Ovis aries: one gene and its partners. The protein of the gene in region 5 purifies or fractionates together with the protein of the main gene of each other region. This does not show direct contact. Links are inferred from orthologs where the notes say so. Each region holds a gene or a part of one and is shown on either strand. Other genes may lie near its edges. The genes, in order: ARCN1, COPG2, COPB1, SACM1L, COPE, COPG1 and COPZ1.

The links.
Region 1: the proteins of COPE (region 5) and ARCN1 purify together in Homo sapiens (affinity purification with mass spectrometry; 4 studies listed by BioGRID and IntAct, with this or other methods). This does not show direct contact. The link is inferred for Ovis aries from reciprocal best matches to the Homo sapiens genes COPE and ARCN1.
Region 2: the proteins of COPE (region 5) and COPG2 purify together in Homo sapiens (affinity purification with mass spectrometry; 5 studies listed by BioGRID and IntAct, with this or other methods). This does not show direct contact. The link is inferred for Ovis aries from reciprocal best matches to the Homo sapiens genes COPE and COPG2.
Region 3: the proteins of COPE (region 5) and COPB1 purify together in Homo sapiens (affinity purification with mass spectrometry; 6 studies listed by BioGRID and IntAct, with this or other methods). This does not show direct contact. The link is inferred for Ovis aries from reciprocal best matches to the Homo sapiens genes COPE and COPB1.
Region 4: the proteins of COPE (region 5) and SACM1L purify together in Homo sapiens (affinity purification with mass spectrometry; 4 studies listed by BioGRID and IntAct, with this or other methods). This does not show direct contact. The link is inferred for Ovis aries from reciprocal best matches to the Homo sapiens genes COPE and SACM1L.
Region 6: the proteins of COPE (region 5) and COPG1 fractionate together in Homo sapiens (co-fractionation; 6 studies listed by BioGRID and IntAct, counting the BioPlex papers as one, with this or other methods). This does not show direct contact. The link is inferred for Ovis aries from reciprocal best matches to the Homo sapiens genes COPE and COPG1.
Region 7: the proteins of COPE (region 5) and COPZ1 purify together in Homo sapiens (affinity purification with mass spectrometry; 3 studies listed by BioGRID and IntAct, with this or other methods). This does not show direct contact. The link is inferred for Ovis aries from reciprocal best matches to the Homo sapiens genes COPE and COPZ1.

What each region holds. Positions count from the first base shown.
Region 1 is NC_056068.1:28,962,178-28,966,388, forward strand, and holds the start of ARCN1 (coatomer subunit delta), read left to right. Parts: upstream 1-1,411; 5' UTR 1,412-1,536; coding exon 1,537-1,539; intron 1,540-4,211. UniProt on the Homo sapiens protein: Component of the coatomer, a cytosolic protein complex that binds to dilysine motifs and reversibly associates with Golgi non-clathrin-coated vesicles, which further mediate biosynthetic protein transport from the ER, via the Golgi up to the trans Golgi network.
Region 2 is NC_056057.1:96,089,689-96,093,847, forward strand, and holds the start of COPG2 (coatomer subunit gamma-2), read right to left. Parts: upstream 2,801-4,159; 5' UTR 2,732-2,800; coding exon 2,695-2,731; intron 2,180-2,694; exon of another isoform or gene 2,092-2,179; intron 1,496-2,091; coding exon 1,443-1,495; intron 882-1,442; coding exon 801-881; intron 1-800. Other genes in the region: TSGA13 (testis-specific gene 13 protein), read right to left, coding at 3,165-3,334. UniProt on the Homo sapiens protein: The coatomer is a cytosolic protein complex that binds to dilysine motifs and reversibly associates with Golgi non-clathrin-coated vesicles, which further mediate biosynthetic protein transport from the ER, via the Golgi up to the trans Golgi network.
Region 3 is NC_056068.1:37,993,661-37,997,160, reverse strand, and holds part of COPB1 (coatomer subunit beta), read right to left. Parts: coding exon 3,482-3,500; intron 1,640-3,481; coding exon 1,520-1,639; intron 158-1,519; coding exon 50-157; intron 1-49. UniProt on the Homo sapiens protein: The coatomer is a cytosolic protein complex that binds to dilysine motifs and reversibly associates with Golgi non-clathrin-coated vesicles, which further mediate biosynthetic protein transport from the ER, via the Golgi up to the trans Golgi network.
Region 4 is NC_056072.1:53,562,617-53,566,116, forward strand, and holds part of SACM1L (phosphatidylinositol-3-phosphatase SAC1), read right to left. Parts: intron 2,637-3,500; coding exon 2,567-2,636; intron 2,449-2,566; coding exon 2,376-2,448; intron 1,662-2,375; coding exon 1,568-1,661; intron 1,461-1,567; coding exon 1,368-1,460; intron 1-1,367.
Region 5 is NC_056058.1:4,117,289-4,120,788, reverse strand, and holds part of COPE (coatomer subunit epsilon), read right to left. Parts: intron 2,982-3,500; coding exon 2,919-2,981; intron 1,312-2,918; coding exon 1,211-1,311; intron 1-1,210. UniProt on the Homo sapiens protein: The coatomer is a cytosolic protein complex that binds to dilysine motifs and reversibly associates with Golgi non-clathrin-coated vesicles, which further mediate biosynthetic protein transport from the ER, via the Golgi up to the trans Golgi network.
Region 6 is NC_056072.1:59,032,435-59,035,934, reverse strand, and holds part of COPG1 (coatomer subunit gamma-1), read right to left. Parts: intron 3,414-3,500; coding exon 3,316-3,413; intron 1,690-3,315; coding exon 1,551-1,689; intron 1,099-1,550; coding exon 1,000-1,098; intron 1-999. UniProt on the Homo sapiens protein: The coatomer is a cytosolic protein complex that binds to dilysine motifs and reversibly associates with Golgi non-clathrin-coated vesicles, which further mediate biosynthetic protein transport from the ER, via the Golgi up to the trans Golgi network.
Region 7 is NC_056056.1:132,224,513-132,228,508, forward strand, and holds the start of COPZ1 (coatomer subunit zeta-1), read right to left. Parts: upstream 2,801-3,996; 5' UTR 2,776-2,800; coding exon 2,758-2,775; intron 135-2,757; exon of another isoform or gene 78-134; intron 1-77. UniProt on the Homo sapiens protein: The coatomer is a cytosolic protein complex that binds to dilysine motifs and reversibly associates with Golgi non-clathrin-coated vesicles, which further mediate biosynthetic protein transport from the ER, via the Golgi up to the trans Golgi network.

The DNA of each region.
Region 1 (4,211 bases), on a different chromosome or scaffold from region 5:
AAGACTCCATGCTTCCAAAGCAGGGGACACAGGTTCTATCCCTGGTGTGGAAGCTAAGATCCCCCATGCCTCTGCTGTTGCTGCTGCTAAGTCACTTCAGTCATGTCCGACTCTGTGCGACCCCATGGATGGCAGCCTACTAGGCTCCCCCGTCCCTGGGATTCTCCAGGCAAGAACACTGGAGTGGGTTGCCAATGCCTCTAGGCGCAGCCAAAAAAAAGAACAAAAACCAAATCTCATTCTCTGTTTCCCTCCTCCTCCAGTCCCTTGCAGCCCTACTTTCCGTCTCTATGTATTTGTATGTTCTGAACAATTTATATAAACTGGGTCATGTAAGATGTGGTTTTTTATAACTGGCATTTTTCACTTAACATAATATTTTCTAGGTTCATCCATGTTGTGCCATATGTCATTACTTTATTCCTTTTTGTGACTAACATTCCATTGAGTAGATATACTACATTTTGTTATTCACTCATCAATTGATGGGACAGTTGGACTGTCTCCATTTTTTACTATTATGAATAATGCTTATATGAACATTAGAATACAAATTTGTGTGTGGAATATACCTTTTTGGGTTGTGCTGGGTGTTCATTGCTGCTGTGAGTGGGCTTTCTCTAGTTTTGGAAAGGAGGGGCTACTCTTTGTTGAGGTGCCCAGGCTTCTCATTGCAGTGCTTCTCTTATTCCGGAGCACAGGGTGTAGTTGCCCTATGGGATCAAACCCATGTCCCCTGCATTGACAGGTGAATTCTTTGGATATGTGCTTTTAATTCTCTTGGATATATACCTAGGAGTGGTATTGCCACAGTAACACTATGTTTAATTTTTTAAGGAACTGCCAAACTGTTTCCCAAAGCAGCAGCACTAGTTCATGCTTCCACCAGCAGTGTATAAGGGTTTAATTTTCCCATATTCTCATCAACACTTATTATTACAACCATCCTAACGGATGTGAAGTGGGGTTCTCTAAAGATTAAAGATGTTGAGCATCTTTTTACGTGCCTACCGGTCATTTATATACCTTTTTTAGAGAAATGGCTATTTTAGCCATTTAAAAATCGGATTAGTTGTCTTTCAATTGTTGAATTTTAAAAGTTCTTTGTATATTCTGGCTACTAGTCCCTTATGAACACCAGTTATCGTGTATATCAAATGATACGGTCTCTTTGAGAGCTTTATGAACTGCAGGAGATGTCGCAAGTTAACCAAAAGCGCTGACGAACACGGAAGGGAGAGAAGCCTACGGTTCCACGTTGGAGGTCGAGCCCCCAGGCATCCCCAGCACAATCTGCGTTGCAAGCCGTCGCCCACAGTCTCTCCACCTCACGGCGCCCCGCCCCCCGCCCTTTGACCCGCGCCGTTTCCGGTTGGAGACGTGGCTCGAGGACGCCATCTTGGTAAGAGGCGAGTCGGCGGCGCTCCTGTCAGGGGGGCAGCAGGTCCGGAGCGGCCGGTCCTCCCCTTCCCCCGACCCCAGCCCTAGCCGCAGTGGAGCCGGAGCGCGCGGGTGCGCCCCACCACCGCCGTCACCATGGTAAGACTCGAGCCGGGCTCAACTCCCGCGTCCGGCCTTGCTCGACCGTTCTTCCTGCTACCGGCCTGTGCTGGGGCTGGAGGAGCCCCGCCCCAAGGGCCGGGAGCCGAACACTTCCTCGGGGCTCTGGGGGCTTCTCCACCCTGGGATCGACTCCCCAGGAGATCCAAGGGACCTGACTGCAGTCCCTCTAGGGTCGCGCCCACACCCCTCCCCCGCCATCAGCTAGGCACCCACCTCTGCCGGGATCCGGGCCCTAAAGCGGGCTCGGGGTTTTTGCTCTGCAAGAACCTACCTCTTAGTGATGGGTCTTGGACCCCACGCTGCGGACCTGGCCTCTGGTGTCCAGCAGGTTCAGTGGGTGCCTCGGCGCCCCAAGCTGGGCTTCTGTCAGGGATTTACTTCGTTCTGTAATCAACTCACCTCTCATCCCCGGTGTTCCGTAGGCCGTGGATGTTTGAAATCTAAATCATTAGTGTTGAGGACTTTTTCTTTAATTTGTTCGAAAGGGAGAAATAGAAGCAAGTGGATAGGGAGGCACAGAACGGGAAGGAGTAACTTCTGACAGTGATATGGCACTAATTGTAGGACCCAGCTAACCCAGAAACCTGCTACCCGCTTCTGTAGATCTTAGGTGTGTCCATTTGTTGGTGTGATTGGGTATACTCTGTGTATAGAGCATTGGGAAGATGCGAGCCAGTCATGGAGAACACAGGTTTTCTGTCTTCAAGGAGCTTATAGTTCAGGTGAAGTGTGGATGTGGCATACGGTAATCAGATGTCTCACAGGAGTGAGAGGGATTTATTCTTTGGGACCTGTTACTTGCCTTCAGTTGAATTATCTTCGTGTTCTCATCTGTGGTGGTGGTGGTTAGTGGCTAAGTTGACTCTTCGGGGATCACAAGGACTACCAGGTTCCTCTGTCCAGGAAGAATGCTGGAACGGGTTGCCATTTTCTTCTCCCATCTCATCTGTAGTAGAGACGGTTAAAATTAATGTTTGTGAGAGATGAAACAAAACACAGTGCTCACTCCACTACATCTGGCTTCATCACTACGATTTGTGAATGTTTATGAAGTAGGAGAAGTTTTTTGGTTCCAAACAAGCTAGTAATTTTTAATCTTTGAAGGATGTACTTTTCTTATTTCTCTTTTTGTCACTAGATTAATAATTTGATTTAAAACATCTTCCTACGCACTTCATAGATGACAGTATAATTTGGTGCCAATTATACCAAGTTCTGTTCACAACCTTTTTAGATGAAAACTTGGTGAGGAGATTCAGGCTTGGACTTTAAATCACTTAACAGTTTTTTTCAGCTTCAGGCATATAAATTGCATCAAGCAGGTTTGTCTCATAAAACTTTTATGTTGGACATAAAATTTCCAAAAACTCCTTTCTTCATTTCCACTAGGAGGCTTAGTATTCGGGTAGTGATTTTAAAACTAGATTCTTTTTACATCTTGGATGTACATGTAGTGCATTTCAATAACATTAAAAGCAAAATTAAAGGCTTTATTATATAAACCAAATGTAGATAATCTTAACAAAAACCTTGTTTGTTGAAAAGTTTGGGAATGTCCTGCTGCTTTTTTCCCTAGTAGTATTTTTAATTCATCAATAACCAGAGGGCCCATAGGACCCTAGGTGTTACATGGTAAACATAAAAACATTAATTGCATGTTATTTGGACACTACATATACATACGGTTGTGTCACATTTAAATATGCCTATAGTTCTGAATTATTTGGAACTTGGCGTGATCCAGATACCTACAGATTTGTGTACTCTGGAGAACAACTTATCTCAGTACATTCTGCTCTGTTGAGTCTTAAGGCATTATTAAGTATTTTTCTGTGTAATATTTATGGGTTCCGTTCCTTTACAAAGAGATCCCTGGACAAAGAAATGTCCAAATAGGGTAACATTTTGCAAAGATTTCTTGAATCTAAAAGCTGTATCCAGAGTTCTAAAAGTTGATCTATAATAAAATTTTCAAACATGTAAGAAAGTTGAGAGCTTTACAGTGAACACCCATGTAATCACCAGCTAGTCTGTAATTAACATTTCACTATTTTTGCTTTATCACACATCTAATTATTCACCCATCCTGTGGTCATCTTTTTTTTAATGCATTTTAGGGGCTTCACTGGTGGTCCAGTGGCTAAGATTCCATGCTCCCAATGCAGGGGGCCCGGGTTTGATCCTTGGTGAGGGAACTAGATCCCACATGCTGTAATTAAGAGCTCATATAGCCAAATAAATAAATATATATATATAAATGCACTTTAAAATAAATTGTAGATATCAGTATGTAAATGTTGGTTTTTGAATAGTAAATTTCCTTTAGCTTTAGTGACTGAACTTGGTGCAAAATGTCCTACACTGCAAAGTCTTAGTAGAGAAATAAAATGAACAAATGGAAAAAAATAATGATTTATGATGACTTTGTTATAAAATCAAGTACAAAAAAATCTTTTTTTAAAATCTTTTTTCTAGTTTTCATCAAATTAATGAGAATATGTCTTATTTTCTTAACATTTGTCAGGTATCATTATAGTCAGTTTTTTTCCTTAATAAATTAATATTTGAATGAACTTGATATTAAGTCTCATTGTAGCCCTAATCTGTGAAGTCTTTGCTTATCTACAGAGTGCTATTCTTTTCTTATT
Region 2 (4,159 bases), on a different chromosome or scaffold from region 5:
ATAAACAAACAAAGGCATACCTTGCAGATACTGTAGGTTCAGTTCCAGACCATGGCAATAAAATAAATATTATAATAAAGCACATCACAGGAATTTTTTGGTTTCCCAGTGCATATAATGTTATATTATCTATACATATAAATTTATACATTTATACATATAAATGTTGCATATAAATGTTTATACTACACTGTAGTCTATTTTGTACAATAGCATTATGTCTAAATAAAGACAATGTACAAGCCTTAACTTAAAAATACTTTATTGCTAAAAAATGCTAACCATCATCTAACAATACAGGGTTGCCACAAACATTCAATTTGTAAAAAAAAAAAAAAAATTCAATAAAGTGAAGCACAATAAAACAATATTCCTGCTTATATTCCTTAATTTGAATATTAAAATGAAAGCTTTAAAGCATTAATATACCCTCACAAAAGGATAAAATGTCTATCTAGAATTTGTCTAAGCTTTTTAAAAATATTTTTGGAGGGACATAAAGACCTTTGAACATACCTAAACAACATGTTTGAATATTAACTAATACTTGTTAAATTCAAATCAATGTTGAGATTGTACTGTGTGCTTAGCTGATTTGGTACCTCATGAATAAGAAAGAAGTATATGTCATACTCCTTGTCCACAAATTTTACATATTACTACATTAATCAAACACTGCAAATTCTAAAATTAAGTGAATTATTAAAAAATTAATAATTACACTTCCTAGAAAAAACTTCACTGCACATTATGTATTTCTATTCTAAGACACAAATCTGAGGAAAATCACAGTAATTTACCTGGTTCAGTAAGTAAAGAATCTTTGTAAGAATATGCAAACATCTTCTTGGATTGATGGGCGTTTCATTGAATATACGAGCCTGTGGAAACAAAAAACACTGCTATGTATATTTTCTATCACAGATTATAGACAATCAAATAAAATGAAAACAATTATATATATGTTTTTAGGACTATTATATATTTTAATCATAGTATCCAAATAATTTAGCTTATAGTTTTCCATTTATTATGGTATATAATAAATTATCAGATGTGATTTTCCATTCTATACTCACTCCCTTAAGTCTCCCACTTCAACTTGTGGACTTTATCTAAGAATTTCAATATTTACCTACATCATTTGAATACAATGAGCTTAGTATCTATAACTTCCTTCAAAAACCTTGCACTAAACACCTCCTACCTTATGTTACTTAAAATTCTCAACATGTGACAGAGTCTACAAATGTTTGCATTTCTATAAACGCCAGACTTTCCTATGACAAGTAACCCCTCTTTTTTTTTTTCCCTCCAGTATATATTCTCTGAACTCAGTTACATTCCTTAATTCTTATTTTGGATCATAGAATTCCAGGTGCTCTGTCCCCATTCTAAAATGGAACAGAAAAGAAAAAACACACTATACTTCCAAGCCATACCTCTTGTAAGACAGCACTCTTCTCCAGATGCCGAAAAGGATTGGAGCCACTACCTATATTATGGGGGAAAAAATGTCTTTAATAGCTGGCATACACAGATGTATTTACTTTCTAAGAAGGGTTTTAAATGCTTGAGAAATCTCACCTATGCGAGGTGTCCACTTGGATATTACAGTGATAATCATTACTAATATGCATACAAATTAATTAAAATCTTTTTGACTCTGACATTAGCTCTATCTGCTATCCTGTAAGATCCTGTACTTCTCTTTTACAGAAACTCTACCTAAAATGAGTACCTTGTCTTCTTGGCCTGCCTTATTTTTATATGAATGTTACAAATATCTGCCATGTCCACACAACTGAGATTTAGATTGTGGTAAGGCTCTTCGGATTTCCCTATAGGAAAGCACTACTTTGTGTATTTCTAACATTTTGCTGGAGGCAGAAGAGTTTATCAGAGAATTAGATACGCGTCAAGCTTTGAAGGGGCCATAGAGGTTTACTAACCCAACCCTCGACCACGCTTTGTGAGAGCAGCTATCAATCACTGAGACTTTTTCTTTTTTCTTTTTTTTTTTTTTTGAGGGGACTTGGCTATCTGCCTCATTTACTCTGGACCAAAGATGGGTATCAGGATGCAACTCACTTTTGGATGCTTGAGTATTAAATGAGCTAGGTACCACGGAACAGCCTTGCCCCCAGGGAAGCGGACAGCGCAGAGGTCCCCAGGGAGACTGTAAGGTACAAGCACCACAAAGTTCATACACACACACAGTCCAGTCGACCCCAGACCCACTCAGGGCCGTACACTATCAGTACCCCGCCCCCACCCCACCCCATCCAACCGCCGCCTCTCGCAAGCGCACACTCACTCCCTCCGCCACCTGCCGTGGGCCCGCCTCTTTGGTGGGCAAGCCCACCCCAGGCGAACCGGCGGAGGAGAAGGCGGCTCCGAGGAGCGGCGGCGCCAGAGGAGGGGGACTGGGGGCGGGGCCGCCGAGCAGCCCGAGGCGGCGCGCGGGCGGCCGCGCGCGAGCGCGCCGACCTGAAGGGAGGCTCCGGAGCCCTGGGGGAGGGGCTAGGGGCAGGCCCCCGGCTGAAGCGGAGCGGGGTCGGAGGAGGGGCCGGGCTCCAACTCCAGCCCCCTGGCACACCGGCGCCCACGCCCCCAGGTTCGCAGTCCCCGAGAGCAGGTGGCGGCGGGGCGGGGGAAGGGGAAGGGGCCCTCGCGGCTGAGCCCCGGGCGTACCAGACTCCTCGTCCTTCTTGTCGAATTTTTTAATCATCTTGGACGACTTCCCAGCGCCCAGACCCACGGCAACCGTCCCAGGCGCCGCAGCCGGCAAGCGGAAGAGGCTGCAGGAAGGCCGGTCCGGTGTTCTGGCGCCGGTTGGGCCGCGGTCCCGTCACTCGGAAAGAAGGCCCGCCCTCCCTACCCGGCGCCGGCCGCTCTCACCGCCCCCGGGGGCGTGGCCACCCCCTCTCCTCCTTCCCAAACCGGGAGGAGGCGGGGCCAGCGGTGGTTCCCACCGGAGTCGCACCTCCGCCCCTACAGCGACCGGTAGCAGCTGGGGGCTAGCCCCTGCCCGCCCTACAAGCCACCCGGCAGCCCACACCCGGAGCGGGCAGAATGAAATTTTATTGGTTGGCACGCCCTAGATGGCGACTTCTGCAGGTCCCTCAGTCTTTGGAGAAGCGGGGGTCCTGCAGGGTTTGTTTTCACTTAATGACAGTGGCGCTTTTTATAAACCACTGCTGGGCCCTTCCATTGCGGAACTCGCTCTCTCCTGGTGCGGTTCTGGTGGGCTTCTTCTCCAGGAGTGATGAAAGGGTTAATGGTTCCCAAATCATCTGGGAAGTTGGCGAGTCGCTCCCTGACTTCTTGGAGACTGCAACAAAGCACAGGGCACCTTCGTGAAAATGGACTTCCCAAGGGAGGACACATAATGTGAAAAATGAAGAGACCCATTTGGAGGGGTGAGAAAGCTGGTCTTTACTCAGAGCAAGAAGGGTAGGTTTTGGACCACTGACCACCATTCCCAACTTTGTTTATAATTCTTCCCTTCATCAAGACACACTTTAAAACACTACCAGTTTAGGATCTTCCCTAACTAACCCCACCCTTTCAAATGATTCCATCTGTGACCATTTTGACACTTGTGTGTTTATGTGTGTGTGTGTGTGTGTGTGTGTGTGTGTGTGTGTGTTAGTTGCTCAGTCGTGTCCAGCTCTGCGGCCCCATGAACAATAGCCCACCAGGCTCCTCTGTCCACAGAATTCTCCAGGCAAGAGTACTGGAGTGGGGTGCCATTCCCTTCTCCAGGGGATTGACACATAACTCTTACTAAGTTAAGGTACTTTCACTTGTGCGTTCAGATTCCTCTTAGCCCTTTCCTAAAATGTATGTTGATTTTCAGTTCTCCTGTCTGAGAGTGTGACTAAGAAGCTGTTGCTACCTTTGGCTTCAGTATCACTTTTTCCAGATTGTCTTTCAATTTCAGCCCTTCTTGGACGCCTCTGTTTGGGCTTGGCCTGTTCCCATCCCTCCCCTCTATTCTGAAGCATTATGCCATGTAAATATCTCTTAAATCTCTTTTCTTATTCCTACTGCTATTGCCTTAATTCAGGTCCTATCTGTTTTTTGGACAGTCTCCTAACCAGCCTTCGTGGCCCCCATCAAAGCAGTTTTCTATGTAACCTTTTATTTGGATGCC
Region 3 (3,500 bases), on a different chromosome or scaffold from region 5:
TCATGTTTGACTTGACAGCTTACAAAGTGCTGTCAGAATTTTGTTTTACCTCTTCAACATTCCTAGAGGAGACAAGATCCAGTGCTAACTGCAGAGTCTTCTTGCGTACTTCTAAGTCTGGTGTGCTCAATACTCTTAGGATGTCCATAACCAGATCCTAAAAAAGAATAGAAATAATCTAGAATTAATATCAGTATTTCTGGTCACAAGAAGAAAATCTTAACTGCAGAATAGAGGGTTCTATCATGACCTTAATTCTCTGATCAATAATAAAATCACTACTGTCGGACAAAACAGATAATTTGAGTTGCCTGATGTAAGGCAACATGAAGTATGTAGTATCACATATGATGCATTCAAACTGAACATGTTTACTCTGTCAAGCTTTAGCTCAAACGTGCAGTTTATAGGAAATACAGAAATCAGAGCAACAAGCTAAATGACACCAAAAAAAGTAACCAGATACATCCAGGAGGAGTCTCTCAAACAAGTCAGTGTTCTGAAAAAATGATACTGTTCAAATTAAGAGACTCAAGGAACCACACATCACAATTACATACATCACAACCAAGTGTGATGTATGGCTATAAATAGGAAAAATCAAACCAAAAGAGTGTTTTAGGAATATCTGGGAAAATTGGATGATTCATTAACAATTTTGTTAAGTGCGATAATGTTATTTTGGCTCTGCAGGAAACTAATATTTTAAAGAGGCATACTTAAAATTCTATAGCAAGTGTTTTCAAATATAGCAAAACAAAATATTTCACTTCTTTAAAACTTTATTTTTTTAAAAAATTCTGATAAAAATGTTCTAAAATTTTTAAGGATAAACTCCTCTACAACCATTACTTATATATACCAGTTGTTAATATCTCACCACATTTGCTGTGTCTTATTCTCTATACTCCGAAATGTTTCACTGTATACCCAAGAGTAAGAAAAATTTCCTATATAACACAATTATCAAATTTAGAGAACTTAACACTGATTAATGATACTATTAACTAATACAGAGTTTGCATTCACATTTCCCCAACTTTCCCAATAATGTCCTTTATAGAAAATGTTTTTGTTGTTACTGATCCAGGATCAGCATTGAACGTAGCTTTATTTTTATCATGGGGCTTTAGTTTTGTAATAATCATTGTCACAGATTAAACAGGTATATTGATAATTTTCTAGAATCTAATAATCTTTCATTCTCCGTTGGTGTTAATTACTTTGCAAAAAATGTAAATTAAAACTAAAACAAATATATCTCTACTTGTAAGAACACCAAGTGCAGTACAAACAGAAAAGATAAAATGTAACACATTAATTCATGTTAGAAATTATTTTTAATAACAAAGACAATACCCCAAAAGGCTACAGTGCTTCAGGAGTTATATTTTAGTTGATCAAAATTTAAACCACCAAATCTCCAAGCATTTAAGCTAACCAAGATGAAAAGTATTGGGAATTATTTCAATTTGAAAGAAGATTCTATTTAGGATTTCTCTGTTTCAGAAATATTTACCTGTAGTACTCGTTCATGAGCAGGATGTTCTTTTAATTCTATCAATCGATCTAGAACTATAAGCTTTACATTGTTGTCACTCTCCTTAATAATTAAATCAATGTAACACTGAGCAGCAGCCTATGTAAAAAAAAGAAATACATTTTAAGAACACATTCATCTATCTTAAACATAGAATCTGAAAATAAGTAAAGCCTCCAAGAAGCCAAAATACATTCACTATCCTACACTGAAAATTTATGCATTTTTCTCAGAGGAATGTGTCCCTCTACTACCCAAGTTCTAACAAATTTCTTTTTTTTTTTAATTACAAAAAATTGGAAGCATCACAAATTAAAAGGATGAGAAGAGGTTGTTACAGCCAGAAACCCTCATTAACAGCCAAAAATTAAGGGCTGAACCTAAGGAACAAGGCAGAAAAAAGCAGATAGAGAATCCCAAACAGTTTGGCTACTAAGCAACTTTTAAGTTTAGGTACAAACCCTAACCCACTTGCATTACAGAACAGAAAAAATCAAGAATATAAAGATGGCTCTGAGTCATTAAAAGTAAAGGGCAAAGATGCAAATCTGAAAGAGCTCCTAATGACTAAAGCTAGGACAATTTGATCAACAAAATAATAATACTGGACTATAATCCATAGCATAAAACATCCATACTGATATAAAGAAGAAAAGGAAGGAAAGAAGGAAAGGAGAGAGGGAGGAAGGGAAGAAAGAATGAAGGAGAAGGGACAGCTCCTCCCTGCAGAACTCCAAATAGTAAGTGTAGAATGAGGGTAACAAAAAATCACCATTAGAATATCATAATAGAAACTGCTATAGAAAAGATCTACTGATATGTGTCTAAATTAGCTGGGTATAAGTCTGAGGAGAAATAGGATATTTGCAGAGTTTCTAGGTATGTTCTCAAAATATTTATTGATTACAAAAGGAAAAATCATAAGTCAACAGTAGAGAAATCTGACAGAGACCACCTTAACTGAATGATCAAGTTTAACATCACCAGTAATAAGGTATATCAGCATCATGTAGGATAGGATACACTGAGAATGGTGTACCACTTCTGTGGTACTTCCCTAAAATATTTGCACATTAAACTAATGAGGAGAAAATGCCATACAAACCAATTAAGAGATATTTTACAAACAAACTGACCCAGTACTCTTCACAAGTATCAATATCATGAAAAACAAGGAAAGGCTGAGGAACTATCCCAGACTAGAAGGACACGGACACATGATAACTTAGTGTTACATGGGATCCTAGACTGAATTCTGGGACAGAGAATGAACTTTAGTAGGATAACTGATGAAATCTGAATAAAGTCTATAGTTTAGTTAACAATATTGTTCCAACGACAATTTTAACTTTGACAGCTACACAATTGTTATGCAAGACATGAACATCATGGGAAGCTGGGTGAAGGGTAATGGGAACTTTGACCTATTTTTGCAACTTTTCTGTAAGTTTAAAATTATTTCAAAATAACACATTAAAAAAGAATTTTTTAAGTATTGGTGGTAAAAGCACTAAATTCCCCTATTTATACAATCTGGTTTTCTACAATAATTCATTCTATGAATAGAGTAGGGTTCCTCACATAGCCTTGACAGTATATTAAAATATTTCATTATCAAAAACATTCACTGGAACTGTTTTAGGGTACATTATTTAGGATTCAGCATCCATTTCCCCAGATCTAGTTCTTAATGTAACTGAAGTATGGGGTGGAGATCTTAAAATACCAGTATCATGCTCCAGAAACTACAAATACTGCTATTCTGTCACTTTTACTCTTTATATACATATGAAAGCAGAAAGTAAGAAAAGAAGGTTGGACTACACTGGAAATCAAAGAATTTTCTAAAATTTGTAGTTGATTGTAAGGTTACTACATCAAGTGAGAAGACAGCATGTCTATCATCTAACTGACACACAGACACACAAAAAAGGACAGTACCTTGATGGCAGTGGGTGCA
Region 4 (3,500 bases), on a different chromosome or scaffold from region 5:
GTAAGATGCTAATCGATGGTTGCAAAATCAGCTTCCCTGAGAGACAACAGAACCCGTCTGCATCTAAATACAAAATACCTTTCAGCACAACATCATTAGAGTTTTGACCGTAACTGTCCAAATCTTCAAACAGATTAAAAGAAAGTGGAAGGAGGTCACCCAGATGTGTACTCAGACTCTAGGCCCCCGACTCCAGGACACCCTGCCCGCTGGCGTCAAACCCCAGAGAGGCTCTTGCAAAGTCTGGTGAATGAGTCAAATACGAGAGACGTGTCAAACACATACATTGACTTCTACATCGCAAGTTTGCCTCCAGCAACCGCTGAACCTCGGGGGGAGCAGAGTCTCCTTGAAACAAGAGAGCCCCACACCTGTTCCGCATCTGTGTTCTCACTTAAACAGCATCTGCAGCTGGACGTCTAGGCGCTTCTGCGTCTAGGCTACGGTAAACGGCGCTGCAGTGGACGCCGGCGTGCGTGTCTTTCACAGCTGTGGTTTCTCAGGGCACATGCCCAACAGCGGGGCTGCTGGGTCACACAGTGGATGCATTCCTAGCTTTTAAGGACGGCATGCTTTTCTCCATAATCGCTGCAGCTAACATTCCTGCCAACAGTGAAGGAGGGCTCCCTTTCCTCCACATCCTCTGCAGCATTTACTGTTTATAGATTTTTCAAAATGTGGTGCATATATACAACAGAGTATCACTCGGCCATAAAAGAAGATCAAACCTGAGTCAGCTCTAGTGAGGTGGATGAGCCCAGAGGCTGTTCTACAGAGTGAAGCCAGAAAGAGAAAAACAGATACTACGTATCAACCCATATATGTGGAATCTAGAAAATGGTACTGATGAACCTATCTGCAGGGCAGGAAATACAGGTGGAGAGGAGAGGCATGTGGGTGCCGTCAGGGAGGGAGAGGCTGTGACGAGTGGAGAAGTAGCACCGACGTGCACACATGATCGTGTGCAAAATGGGAGCTGGTGGTGAGCCGCGGGGAGCCACAGGGAGCCCACGGCCGTCTGCGCTGAGCTGCAGGCGGCCGGATGCCGGGAGGGGAGGGAGGCGCAGCAGAGACGGGCTGTGTGTATAATTATGGCTGCTGCACACTGCTGCACAGCAGAAACCAAGACAACACTGTAAAAATGAACAAAACAACACAATAAAGGAGCTGCAAAAGACAGTCAAGTTTGAGAGAGGACAACATTCCAAAGTTACCTCACTCTTCTCCCTGACCTGCTCCTTGGGGCAACATAAGTATTTATATTCCATTTAGAACAACACATAATGTTTTATGTCAAGGGGTGTTGGACCATCTGTACCTTCAGTCACAACTCTATTAACAACTTAAAAAACATAAAGGTTTCTTACAGCCAGGAACTTCAGATCTCTTGGAACACTTAAAGGACTATGAGATTCTAATTCATCCACTGAATAGTTCCCAAGAAATAAGTCTATGGAATCCTAGAAGAGAAAAAAAGGAAAATAATAACTCCCAAATTAGGTATGGGGAACAGTACAAAAACACAGCCACCAAATAACCACAAATTAGCATGAGAAAACTAACTTACTTGTCTAAATCCATCAGAAAAGTTGTTCTTGTAATACCGTATTAATGAGTTCCAGCCATCCATTATAAGTCCCAACTGAGTTCTCTTCCCAGTTCTAGTTAAATAAGAGGTTAAGTTTTGAGTTACAGATTTGCATATTAAATTCTCACACTGTTTATAGCCAATAACTACATGGTAAGGAGATAAGTAAATTATAAAGATTTCTTTTTTAAAATCCTTGAATATATAAAGGAGACATCTCACAAAAGAAACTGTACTGACTCCAAGAAATCTGCATCCTCTTTCTAAAGCATTATCACAGTAGACACAAAGAGGAAACATGCTCAGTTCCCCTTGCAAAGATAAGAAACAAGAAGAGAAACACACAGCCCAGGCTAAGTGGTATAAAGCGAACAGACTAGAAATCTTATCTTGCTCCCAGGGAATCCATACAGCAGAAAAAGACCCAACCACATCTGTAACAAATTCAAAACATTCCAACCTCTCACTACCCAGTGCGGTCCTTGAAACCAGCTCTAGCATCACGCAAGCACATAGTCTCAGGCCCCTCCCAGACCTGCTGAATGGGCGTGGGGTGAGTCAGCCACAGTAGGTGGCTGAGAGGAGCTGAGGTGCCCTGGTGCTCAACCCCACTGTGCGCCAGAATCACCCAGGGACGCTAACAAGCCACCGCTGCCTGGGCCTCATCTCCCCCGAGTCCCAGCTTGACGGCCTGGAGCGAGGCCCGGGCACCGGCGGGCGCTCTTGGGTGAAAGCTGCGCGAGCGATCTGCCATGCACCGGAGTGTGCGGCCCAGCGCGCGGCTCACCTGGTAAAGTCAGTCTTCAAGGCACCGGTTCCCGCGTACTGTTTGGCACAAGCATTTGCATTGTCAGCCCAGGCTGTGGAGGGGCAAAAAGAGGAAAAATCAGTTAATAACCACTGACAACCAATGCTCTAAATCCAAAATGTTTATTTCAACATTTGAATGACCTTGCCTCTGTTCAAGAAATGACCTACCATTTTTGTAAATCTTCTCAAATTCATCTTGTTCTTCAAGCTTTTGTCCCACATGCAAAACTCCTAGTCTCTGGAATAAGAATCATACCCATGTTTACACGTTACAGATTTCAGCATAGTCTCCACAGAGTCTCACGTGCTTGCTGGCTTCAGCCAGATGTTTTCCCTGTAACACAGCCCTCCGCTGCTTAGCCCGGCTGCAAAGCCTCTCTCTGGGCTCCCATCCGCCCACAGCCCCTCTCCCCGCTGAGCCCCAGACCACAGCACCCGCAGCAGGACTGGGTAAACCCAGAGACAGGGGCAGAGGTAAAGGCGGGGAGTATGCAGTCAGTGCTCCCTCCTTCCCTGCCCCCGCCCCCAACCTCCCATCACCTGGACCCTGTGCCCGCCTCAATTCACCACCCAGACTGCTGACCTCCGCACTTACCCCTAGCCAGGGGCCCTTTGAGAACTAGAGGAATGCTACCCCCTCCCTCGCCACAAATTGCACAGAAGCACAGCCCTCTGCATATCATCTCACAGGACCCCGGGCAGCCCGAGTCTCTCTGCGGACTCCCCTGTGGAGTTCACTGACCACGGACTGGACTCCTACCTTGGCCTTTGTTTCGGACCCGCAACCCTCTTAGAGCCACTATCCTCACTGCTCGCCTCCGATGGCCTCTCCCTCACTCCCCCAGCACAGGGCCTGCCCACCCCAGTGACCGGCCCTCTCTGGAAGGGGAGAGGCACAGCTGGAGGCCCCACGTCAGCGGGCCCTGAGGCTGGAGAGGCTCCTGCCCCCAGGCTCTCTGCAGGCTGCTGAGCTTCCATAGGACTGTTTTTAGCATGTAAATTAGTTAAATACAGATTACAGAACCCAGTCCAATAGATTTCTGTTAGCCAGCCTTGGAAGCAACCAGTCTCAATATGGTTTCTGTTGAAAAATATCCTCTGA
Region 5 (3,500 bases):
CAAGGTCTTTAACCACTTACATCTGCAGACAGCCCGTTTCCAACGAGGTCAGGTTCACAGCTTTTGGGGGTCCCCATTCAGCTGCCATTGCTTAAGTCTCTTTGAAGAAACCCCTCAGGTCTCTTTATGGACCAAGGAGCCAGATCAAAGGAGGTTGCGCACGGGGCGCTGCCCTCCATGAGGAGCAGAAGTGGGGGTCACAGGAGATATCCACACTTGGGACCCACAGAGGGCTGCAGCAGCCCGCGAGGGAGGCGTAGTATCGATGAGGTCAGGCCCACATCCTGGTCTAACAAGCTCCACGGGGCAGCGTTCAGGAGAGGAGCCCGAGACCCCCCGAGGCATCACAGTGCTGTGAGCGAGGCCCCGGAGCTCGGACAGGCAGCTGGGGTCGGCTCCCAGAGCAGAGCATCTCCCTGTCATGCGCTGTGCTGCCCCGCCTTCTAGCCCAGCCACCCTCTGGGGGGTGTTTCACCTCTGAAATCCCAGGGGGCTTTGTGAGCAGTCCATTTCCAGGGGTGGGGGGAACCGAGGTGCAGGGGGACCACAAAGCCTGCTGCATCAGGCTGGTGCTCCACGCACAGGTGAGGCAGGGCCACACAGCTCCCAGCCAGAGGCTGAGCTCACAGGCACCTGGGTGAGCAGCCCAGCCCAAGACCTGCCTGCGCAGGAGCCACCTGAAGCCAGAAAGGCCAGACCGTGAGCGGTCTCAGACCCCACGCCGGGCAGCAGAGAACAGGCAGGCCTGGTCCTGGAAGACCCAGCGCTTCCGGGTCCCTACAGCCCTGACCCTCGCCTCTCCCGGCCACCACCTGACGGAGTCTGATGACAGCTGATCAGCGGCACGAGGCGGACATGCAGCTCAGAGTGAGGCTGCGGTGTCCGCCCTCCCACCCGTCCGCAGAGATGGATGACAGGCAGCGCAGCCACCAGCACCTCCCCGCAACTCAGGTGAGCAGCAGCGGAAGGTGGGGAGGGTCCCCGCCGCGCGTCCCGGGGGGGCTCTCTGGGCAACCAGGCTTCCGCAGCCCCTAGGCAGCTGTGCAGTCCCCACCTCTGGCCCCCCGCCCCCGCAGAGACCTCCTGGAAGCAGGGCCCCTCACTGCCCCCGCTGTGCGGCTGAGGGGAACCAAGGCTCAGAGGGCACAGCAGGGATGCCCACCAGACACCCCCTGCCCGCCCAGGCCCGCCCACAGCGCCCCAGCCTCACCGCCGGCTGTCGCTGGCCAGGTACTCCGCAAACATGCGCACAGCCTGCAGCTCGGGGGCAGAGGAGGGCTTGATCTCATCCAGCACCACGCCGTACTTCCTCTGTGGGCAGGACACGGACGCCGTCAGCCCTGCCCGACCTCCCGGTGCAGTTTCTGTGTCCCAGACCCCAGGGAATATACAAGGGCTGCTTGGTGCCAGCATCGCCCTGGTGAAGCCCCAGTACCTACCGCTCCCAGGGACGCCCCTTGGCCCTCGGGAGCCACCACAGCATCCCCCGTTAGCCACACTGCCCACTGCTCCAGCTGCAGACCCTGGCCGGTCACTGTACAGCCCCAGGTGGTGAAGGGGAGGGGGTCACAGGGTCAGGGAATCTGGGCATGTGCTTCGGCCTGCCCACAGACACCCAGCAGGGAGGTCACTGCGAAGGGAAACTGGCATCAGGGACCCATTTCCCTGTTCCTTTCCAGGCAGTTTCAGTGTGTTCATTGCCTTCTACGTGTCTTCACGTTTCATTTTTTTTAATTTATTAAAAAAGAATTTTTTGGCCTTGCCATACGGTATGTGGGGCCTTAGTTCTCCGACCAGGGGTCAAACCCGTGACCCCTGCATGGAAGCCACAGAGCCTTAACCACTGGGCCACCGGGGGAGTCCCTACCTGTGTTTATCTTTAAAGACACATGCAGACATGAACACATCCGAGCAGACTCTGCAGTGCACTGGGGCACCCTACTCTGACGGGGGGCACACACACCCTGGAGGTGGGAGGTGGCGGGGAGGAGCACCTGGGCCACAGGGGGAGGTCCCCTCAGGTTCTAGAATGCTCCACAGAGGAAAAGATGCAAAGAGACCTGGGAAGCCACCTGAGGCCTGACGCGAGGTGGGGGCACCTGTGAGCCATGTGCCCCCCACACAGCAGCCCAGGCCTGCCCTCTCCCCGCTGCTCTAAGGGGATGAGGCTGGCGGCCACACCCGTGCTGTGGGCCTGGGGTGGGAACACGGTGGGCACAGTTCAATCCTCTCTGCAGAGTCTGGGTTGTCTATACAACAGGGGGATGAACTCTCACTGCATTACGTCCCAGGGGAATGCTGCTTTTTAAGACCCAGGTAAAGAACCCGCCTGCCAATGCAGGAGACACCAAGAGACGTGGGTTCCGTCCCCGGGTGGGAAGGCCTTGGAGCAGGAAATGGCTCCCCCTCCAGTACTCTCGCCTGGAAAATCCCATGGACAGACGAGCCTGGCGGACTACAGCCCATAGGGTCACAAGGAGTTGGACAGGACTGAGCACAGCATGCAACGATGCTTTTAAAACTTTAACTGCAGCATCTAAACTGCCAGCTCTAGTTAATAACGGCATCAATACCAGTGCATCAGTTCTAACAAAAGCACCCCACAAACCCAAACTGTTAATGAGAGAAAATGCCTGTGGGGTGGGGCTGGGATTTGGAATTCTTTTTATCATCTGCTTGGTTATCTGTAAACCCAGAACCATACCGAACGAGTAAAATCTACTAATTAAGTGGAAAAAACAAAACAAAACAAGAAATCCCAACACCGGTCTCCTGAGCTGGTGCTGCAGGGCCTCAGTGACGCGGTCACCGACTTCCAGTGGCCACACCAGCTGCGTGGCTCCTGCCCCCGCCGACACTCTGCTCCTGACTCTCCTGTCCCAGGGCACCGGCAGTCACAGTCAAGGGCCCACGCTCACCTGGGCCAGGTACGCTCTGTACAGGAAGACATCCCGCTCCACGTCTCTCTCCGGGCTGGATGGCTGCGGAGGCAAAGGTAGGTCAGGACTCGCGGGGGCCGTGCGGCCAGCAGCCCCACAGAGGCCAGCCACAGGCAGCCTTCCCAGGAGACTGGGCCCTAGTCCCCGCCCTGGCTCTCTGCCCCCTTAGGACCTTCGGCCACAGGCGAGCAGCCGCCACGGACGGCATGCAGCATGCTGGGCACCCCATTCTGTGCCCCCAGGACATCCCCCTGGGAAAGGCGGCTCAACTGTCACTCCCATCCGGCTGGGTGAGGGACGGGGACACTAACAGTGCTGAAACAGCCCGAGCCATACAGAAGGGGCCGGGGCAGAAGCCACGCTTCCGACCACGGGACACTGGGCTGCTCATGCCGATGGGGAAGGACCCGAGCCTCAGCAGACCAAAATGGAAGCAGCTCAACAGTCCAGGTGGTCCGAGGACGCCTGCAGTGGGGTCGGGGTTGGGCGTGCACTGATGCCTAAGTCTGTACAAGCCTAGAAAGCAGGCCTGGGAAGACTCCCATCTGAAGATGGATGGCT
Region 6 (3,500 bases), on a different chromosome or scaffold from region 5:
TTTGAAAATTCCCAGAACTGCTTAAAAACCCCATTCCTATCAGAAAGGAATAACCAACTCAGTGGAAACTATAGAAATAAATAGAATGCACGCGCTGTTTCACGTCAGAGGGGGTGAGAGCAATCATGGCAGATCGCACTTGAGATGCTGAGCGCCCGTCAGTACACAGGACACTCAGAGTGAAGCCACTCGAGACACACGGACACGCCCAGCACAGGCCGCGCAGGTTGCGAACACGCTGCCCGGTTGGAAGTGTGGGAGAGAAGGCACACGATTCCTATGGAAGGCAGCTGGAGATATTTACCGAGATGAAAGATGCACTTTGACCTGGTAAAGCCTTGAGAAACTCACCCTACAAATACCCAGAGTGCACACATCCAAAATAAAGTGCCTAAGCAGACACGTGTGTGTGGGGTTGTTCCCTGCAGCGCAGTCTGTAATGGCAGAACACGAGAACCACCTAGGTGTCCCTCAGTCCACGTGCTGGTTCTGAGAGACAGTACTCAGCCATGAGAAACAACCAGAGCTCAGTCTGGGAAGACGTCTGGGAAGACGGGAAAGTTCTGGAGGTGGGTGATGGCGATAGTTGCAAAACAGCGGGAATGTACTTAACGCTGCTGAGCTGATGTGAAAATCACTACATTGGTAAATTTCATGTTATTAAAAAAAGGAAAAAAACCAGGAGGCTCTCCAAGATGCACGGTGAAGTGAACAGCCAAGTGCAAAGCAGCGTGCCCGCCGTCTGCATACGGCTGTCTGACTCTGCACAGGGCAGCATGCACACTTGCTCTCACACCCTTAGGATCACAGGGAGGCGCCTGGAGGCCTGTGTAGGAGCTCACTGGCTGCCCGTGGGCAGGGACACTGACTGGCAGCAAGCGCCGGGGGAAAACGGCGCTAGCTGGCCTTCTCATACCTTGTGATGTTCCGCGCTGCGAGCCCTAAATCCCCGGGTTACCCAGGGGCACCCAGGCCCTTCCCACGAGAAACGCCACTCACCGGCCAGGAGCAGCGTGTGCGTGTTCTTGTTGTCCGGCACTTTGTCAGACCGCTCACAAGGGTGCATTCCTAAGAACTTGACGATATTGCCCACAGCCTCTGCAGGGAGGAGTCCCAGAGTTATTAACCCACGTAGCTCATCTCCACTTGGCGCTATCACCACTCCCCCAGCCCCAAATCCCACTGTATGCAGCTTTTAATGAGCAGCATCTGAACTGTCCCTTGTGGCTCAGCTGGTGAAGAATCCGCCTGCAGTGTGGGAGACCTGGGTTCGATCCCTGGGTTGGGAAGATCCCCTGGAGAAGGGAAAGGCTACCCTCTCCAGTGTCCTGGCCTGGAGAATTCCATGGCCTGCACTGTTCACGGGGTCGCAAAGCGTCGGACATGACTGAGCGACTTTTTTATTATTCTGTGTATCTGAACTGTATGCTCTAGACTTGGCCCTGGATCTTTGGGGGACGGGGGCGGGGACGGGGGGAGGAGGAGCACTTTAACAGTGGCCAAGGGTCTTGAAAGGCAGGCAAACCAGAGCCGGCACCCCCAGCATTTACCCTCGAGTGTCTTGATGGTGGACAAGGTGAACGTCTCCTCCTTCTGGAACTCATCCCCGACCTCGTCCCAGGCTGCCTCGAAGTTCAGCTTCATGACCTTCTGGATGTGATCCGCTATCGTGACTTCCAGGTCCTCCAGCTGGGGGGCGATAGGAGGGTCCTGAGGCACACAGCTCCAGGAGAGACGGCGAGAGCCTCCGCTCCGCTCTGCCCACCCGCCCCTCCCACCGCGCAGGCTCCGAGCGCTGGGCTCCGGGGCGGGCCCCAGCGGACCAGCGGCCTGTCCTCAGCAGCTCACGGCCGGGTGGTGGCCCCTCGGCGGGACGCGCCCTCAGACAGCGAGCTCCTGGGGGCTCCAGTCCTCTACGTGGAGCAGCGCCGTGTTTGCGTTTAAGCTGCGCACGTTTTCCTTATGCTCTGCGCCACCTCTCAAGCGTTTATAATACCCGATATGATGTAAGTGTCATGGAAACAGACGTAAACACAGTGCAAACGCTAAGTACATAGCTGCCTTGTGTGACAAGCTCACGTTTTGCTCTTGCGAATTTTCTGGAACCCACTCCATTTTCCGTCTGTTGGTTGGATCCATGGAGGCAGAACCCACAGATATGGAGGGGCCCCTGTCCTCCTCTCGGGGTGTTGGCTGTGAGAGCGCGCCCTCCGAAGCCGCCAGTGCCTGACTTGATGGGGCGGGGTGGGGAGGAGTGCTCAGAGGCCGCCCCGAGTCAGCCGGGCCCGCTCTGGACGCGCACCCTGGACCGACTGTGTGGAAAGGCTCCCGCTCATTCACCAGCAGCTCTCTGCTGAGCCCCTGCTCCCGTGCGCGGGGAGGGCGTTCACAGGTAGGACACAGCCCCTGTGGCAGAAGCCGGGCTTCATACCCAGCCCTCCTGGCCTTGGCTGCGCGCACTGCTGGCTCAGGCCTGGACCCGGGAGGACACAAGTGCCCATCGGGTGTGCCCCAGCGACTGCCCCTCTGGCTACGAGGGCCCTGGCCGTCTCCATCCCAGGCTGCCTGTCAGGGTCTGCACTCAGATGGCAGGGAGCCGCCGCACGCCGGGCAAATCGAGAATGACCCTGCCCTCGGCTCTGTGCTAGCCCCGCGAGCTGGAGCCGGAAGGGGCACCTCACTGCGTCAGAAGGTCGCTGACAGACACAAACTGACCCCGTCTCTCTAGAAAGCGACTGATGGCAGGAACCAAAAAGCCCTGAAACCGTCCTGCGTCTTTGACCCGATTATCCTACTTGTTTTTTTAATTATTTTAAATGTTTTTTTAATTATTCTACTTCCAGTCACAAGACAGGTCTGAAACACAGGCACAAATTTTTACTGAAAGGGGTGTTTACTGTAGCACTCAAAAACAGTGAGAATTTGGAATCACAAATGCCCAATGTTATTGGAATACAAAGTGAGGTGAATTAGGATATGTCAATAGAAGGGAGTATTTTAAAGTCACTAAGACTTGTGTTTATGAAGTATTTGTACTGACGGGAAATTACACCCTGGTTCTAAGGGAAACCAACAAGATCTGTAATGTATGTAATGACATCAGACACAGCTTCTCTCCCCGCAGCCATTCCCAAGGGCTACAGTGAACGTTTCCCTGCCTGAGTGTACTTGTTTTTCTATTTCCCAGGTTTTCTTGTGACACTTGAACATGTATTTTTTAAGTTAAAAACAAGAACTCTTTTGCGACGTCTAAACCGAAACCAGCGCACACGCGTGCAGGCTGGCGTGAGCCCTGCGGGCCCCGCCGGCGCTTACCACATACTCATCCTCGTAGCCCTCATCGTCCGCCTCCCCGGTGGTGGGGTCGCAGTCCTTGACAGTGAACTTCATCATGCAGCTGAACGTGCAGGCCACTGCAGGAGGGAAGGCACGCCGTTGGGGGCCTCTGCGGGCAGGCGGCCACAGCCTGTCCTCCAGGCCTCGACCGCGCCAGCGGCCCA
Region 7 (3,996 bases), on a different chromosome or scaffold from region 5:
ACTATTTTTTTACTCTTCCCAAAGATAGTATAAAACTAGTGACACTGCGTATACAGAGAAATTGATTCATTACATACAATGATGTCTTACGGCATTAGGGCTTAATTCTCCCCTGGAACTCCAGTTGAGAAGGGCTGGAATGGAGAGAAAGATACGTAAGTTCTTAATTGGGGGCCCAAAATATATTGAAGGTAGTAATGAGCACACACATACAAAAATGTTGGGAAGCACAGACAAAGAGGAAGGAAATTACTAATATGATATTCTAAGAACTCTGGTGACAAGAACTTGTATTGGTACTTTGTTGGTACTTTGAAAGTTGGTACTTTGTACCTAACTAACGTTTTATATAACTGATAGTTGAATGTGCAATTTGGCATACTGAAGAGGTGGAAGCACACGATAATATGAGAGAAATACTAGGTCTGGGAGGATTAGGAGTCAAAAACTAATCCTGGTTTTGACTGTGCTTACTCGAGGAAGCCCTTTTCCCTTAATCTTCGTTTCCCCTTACACATCACATAGGTTCCTCAGGACAAAGAATCAGTAAGGTTTCTAAAGCAAACTTCAGGGATACCTGATCAGGTCAGCAAGGATCTGTGAATGAAGCATCTTAGGTAAAGATTAAAATGGATATAAGGAAGAAGCAGGTCAAAACAAACTTCATTATGGAAGCAAAGATAAGAACTGAAGTAAGAGAAAATGTGAGAGGGAGAGAGACTTTCACATATAACTCAGGTCACTCTACACACAGATCCCTTGTTAAAAGGGCTCCTGGAGTATCATCTTCCTCACTCCTTTACCTATAAGCAGGCTCCCTTCTAAACAGAACTAAGGGGCAGTCTAAAATTTTCTTAAAACTTCCAAAGAAACCAATTCCCTAGAATTCATCTCAGTCTGTTAACTAGTTAAGAACACTGGTTAACTGGTTGGTACAGAAAATATCTTTAGTAAGATTTCAAAGCTTTCTACCTAGACTTAAACAAACCATATTTTTGGAAGAAACTAGCAGAAAGTGAAGAGGAACTAAAAAGCCTCTTGATGAAGGTGAAACAGGAGAGTGAAAAAGTTGGCTTAAAGCTCAACATTCAGAAAACGAAGATCATGGCATCTGGTCCTATCACTTCATGGCAAATGGATGGGGAAATAGTGTCAGACTTTATTTTTTTGGAGTCCAAAATCACCGCAGATGGTGACTGCAGCCATGAAATTAAAAGACGCTTACTCCTTGGAAGAAAAGTTATGACCAACCTAGATAGCATATTCAAAAGCACAGACATTACTTTGCCATCAAAGGTCCATCTAGTTAAGACTATGGTTTTTCCAGTGGTCATGTATGGATGTGAGAATTGGATTATGAAGAAGCTGAGCACTGAAGAATTGATATTTTTGAACTGTGGTGTTGGAGAAGACTCTTGAGAGTCCCTTGGACTGCAAGGAGATCCAACCAGTCCATCCTAAAGGAGATCAGTCCTGGGTGTTGATTGGAAAGACTGATGCTGAAGCTAAACTCCAATCCTTTGGCCACCTCATGCAAAGAATTCACTCATTGGAAAAGATCCTGATGCTGGGAGGGATTGAGGGCAGGAGGAGAAGGGGACGACAGAGGATGAGATGGCTGGATGGCATCACTGACTCGATGGACATGAGTTTGGGTAAACTCTGGGAGTTGGTGATGGACAGGGAGGCCTGGCATGCTGCGATTCATGGGGTTGCAAAGAGTCAGACACGACTGAGCGACTGAACTGAACTGAATCCCTGCATTTGCCATTTTGAAAGAGGGATATTGAAACCTGTTATTCTCTTTAACCTGATGAGGATTTGGAGGTGTACATATGAAGAGCTGAAGGGGGGTAAAAAAGGAACCTAGAGTTCAATTCAATTAAGAAGCTGGGAGTTAAATTCCTACACATTACACATACATATATATGTTAACAACCCCACGTTTGAAAGGGGTGGGGCACTTTTGAGAGAAATGCTCAGTTCTAAAGAAGAGATAATAGTTTTTTGTTTTTTTTTTTTTTTTGAGCAAGCAAAAAGGATTATATGGACAGGGGAGGTAACACACCTCTTCAGTCACCAAAATTCTTACATAACCAGAGAAAAGTTGGCATCCCAGATCCTACTATAGTAAGAATTCCCAAAATTTAAATGAACCGGGAAAAGGAGAACAGATTAAGAAGTCTGAAAAAACATTCCACAATCCAACACTAACTCTTATCAGGTATTCCAGAACTCTAATGGAATACTGATTCTTTATGATGACAAAATCTACATAGTAGGAAATCGAAGAAGAAAATAGTTTTTTTTTTAAGGTCTACGACAGGGAATTATCAACGGAGAGTTGCACTGTGACAAGTTTTCTGTGATGACAAACACCTGCACTCTATTCTTACAATTCGAGGCGAGTTTGGAGATTTGGGGGAACTCAAATCACAGTATCATCCACAATGCACATAATCAGAGAGAATCTGAAGGACCCCAATCCAGTACGCTTATGATCCTATGTGTCCTAAGGACTCCATGTGCTCCCTTCAACTTTCCACCAACTCTGCCCTAACCCCGGCACAGCTTCCTACTCTAAACCGAGGCTTTAGCTCCGGCACTAGGCCACAGGCTTATTCCAGGGACCTGCAAAACGTTCGGACCCCGAGGATTACCAGGAACTCCCCTTTCTACCCCCTCCCACTCAGACTGAACTCCGACTCCCGGCCCCCCTGGACAGTGCAGGATCTCGGGTGCCCCTCCAGCTCCTACCAAAATCAGCGCCTCCATCTTGCCCCGCAGCTGGTGCCGACGTGGAACCACAGAGGCAACGCCGCCTCTGATTGGCCCTACGTCCTCATTAGATCCCGCCTGGGATGAAGGTTATTGGACGCCCAAATGTCATCTATTATTTTATTGACCAATCAGTGTACTAGTTTGCTTAGCGGAAGCAAGGTGTCCAGCCAGAAGGCGCAGGTATTTGATTGTCAGTTTAAACATTCAATAAAACGACAAAACCTCAAGGCTGAATGGAGAGGGAAGGTCAGAGGGGCGGGGTTGTTTCCATGGGGAACAGAGGAAGCGATTGTTAATTTTCAATTGGCCTGGCGGAGGGCACGTGATATCATCGGTCGGATTTAGTAACTTTGATTCGCACTCCCTTTAGGGGGCGCTGTGTCTCTTTGGCCCTTCACACTGGCAGGTCTTGATGTAATCCCACCGGAATCTTCATTCCGGAGCCTCCATTGGGTCCCCGATGTTCACGGTAGCTTTGGCAAACACTACTAGCTCTTCCTTCAGATTCGCTCAGATCACTTCAGCATACTCAAAGTCTGCACAGTCATAAAGTAAAGCCACAAGATGACCAGCGTGTTACTTTGATAAAAAGAAGGCCGCTAGAGGTTGATTGCTAAAAATAACAATCTACCCTAGGTGGAGTCCCAGACTTTGCTTGATCCAGGGAAGGACAAGAAGCTAGTGAGTTTTCTAAAAGCAGATTTTGTTTGGCCAGCCGTGAAACGGGATTTGAGATCTTTGGATGCTGAGGGACACAGGAATAAAGGGTCCAGGATAAGGAACGATGTAGGGAGCAGGGTATGCTGTTTTCCAGTAGGGACAAGCCATTGCACAATGAGAAAAGAGAAGTTTACTGAATGCAGAGATTTCACAATAGGGAGGGATTTTGATGAAGTTTAGCTTTCCTCACCCTTCAGTTTCTTGGTCCCTGACGTTTCGTAGGTCAGGGACACCTTTATTTGCCTTATATGTGTGTTAGTCGCTGGTTGAGTCCAACTCTTTGCAACCCCATGGGCTGTAGCCCACCAGCTCCCTTGTCCATGGAATTCTCCAGGCAACAATACTGGAGTGAGTAGCCATTCCCTTCTCTGAGGAATCTTCCTGGCCCAGGGATGGAACCTGGGTTTCCTGCATCGCACTTGAATTGTTTACCATCTGAGCCATCAGGGAAGCCCTTATTGCCTTATATTGTCCCTCAGAGGTTTTTGTGGGTTT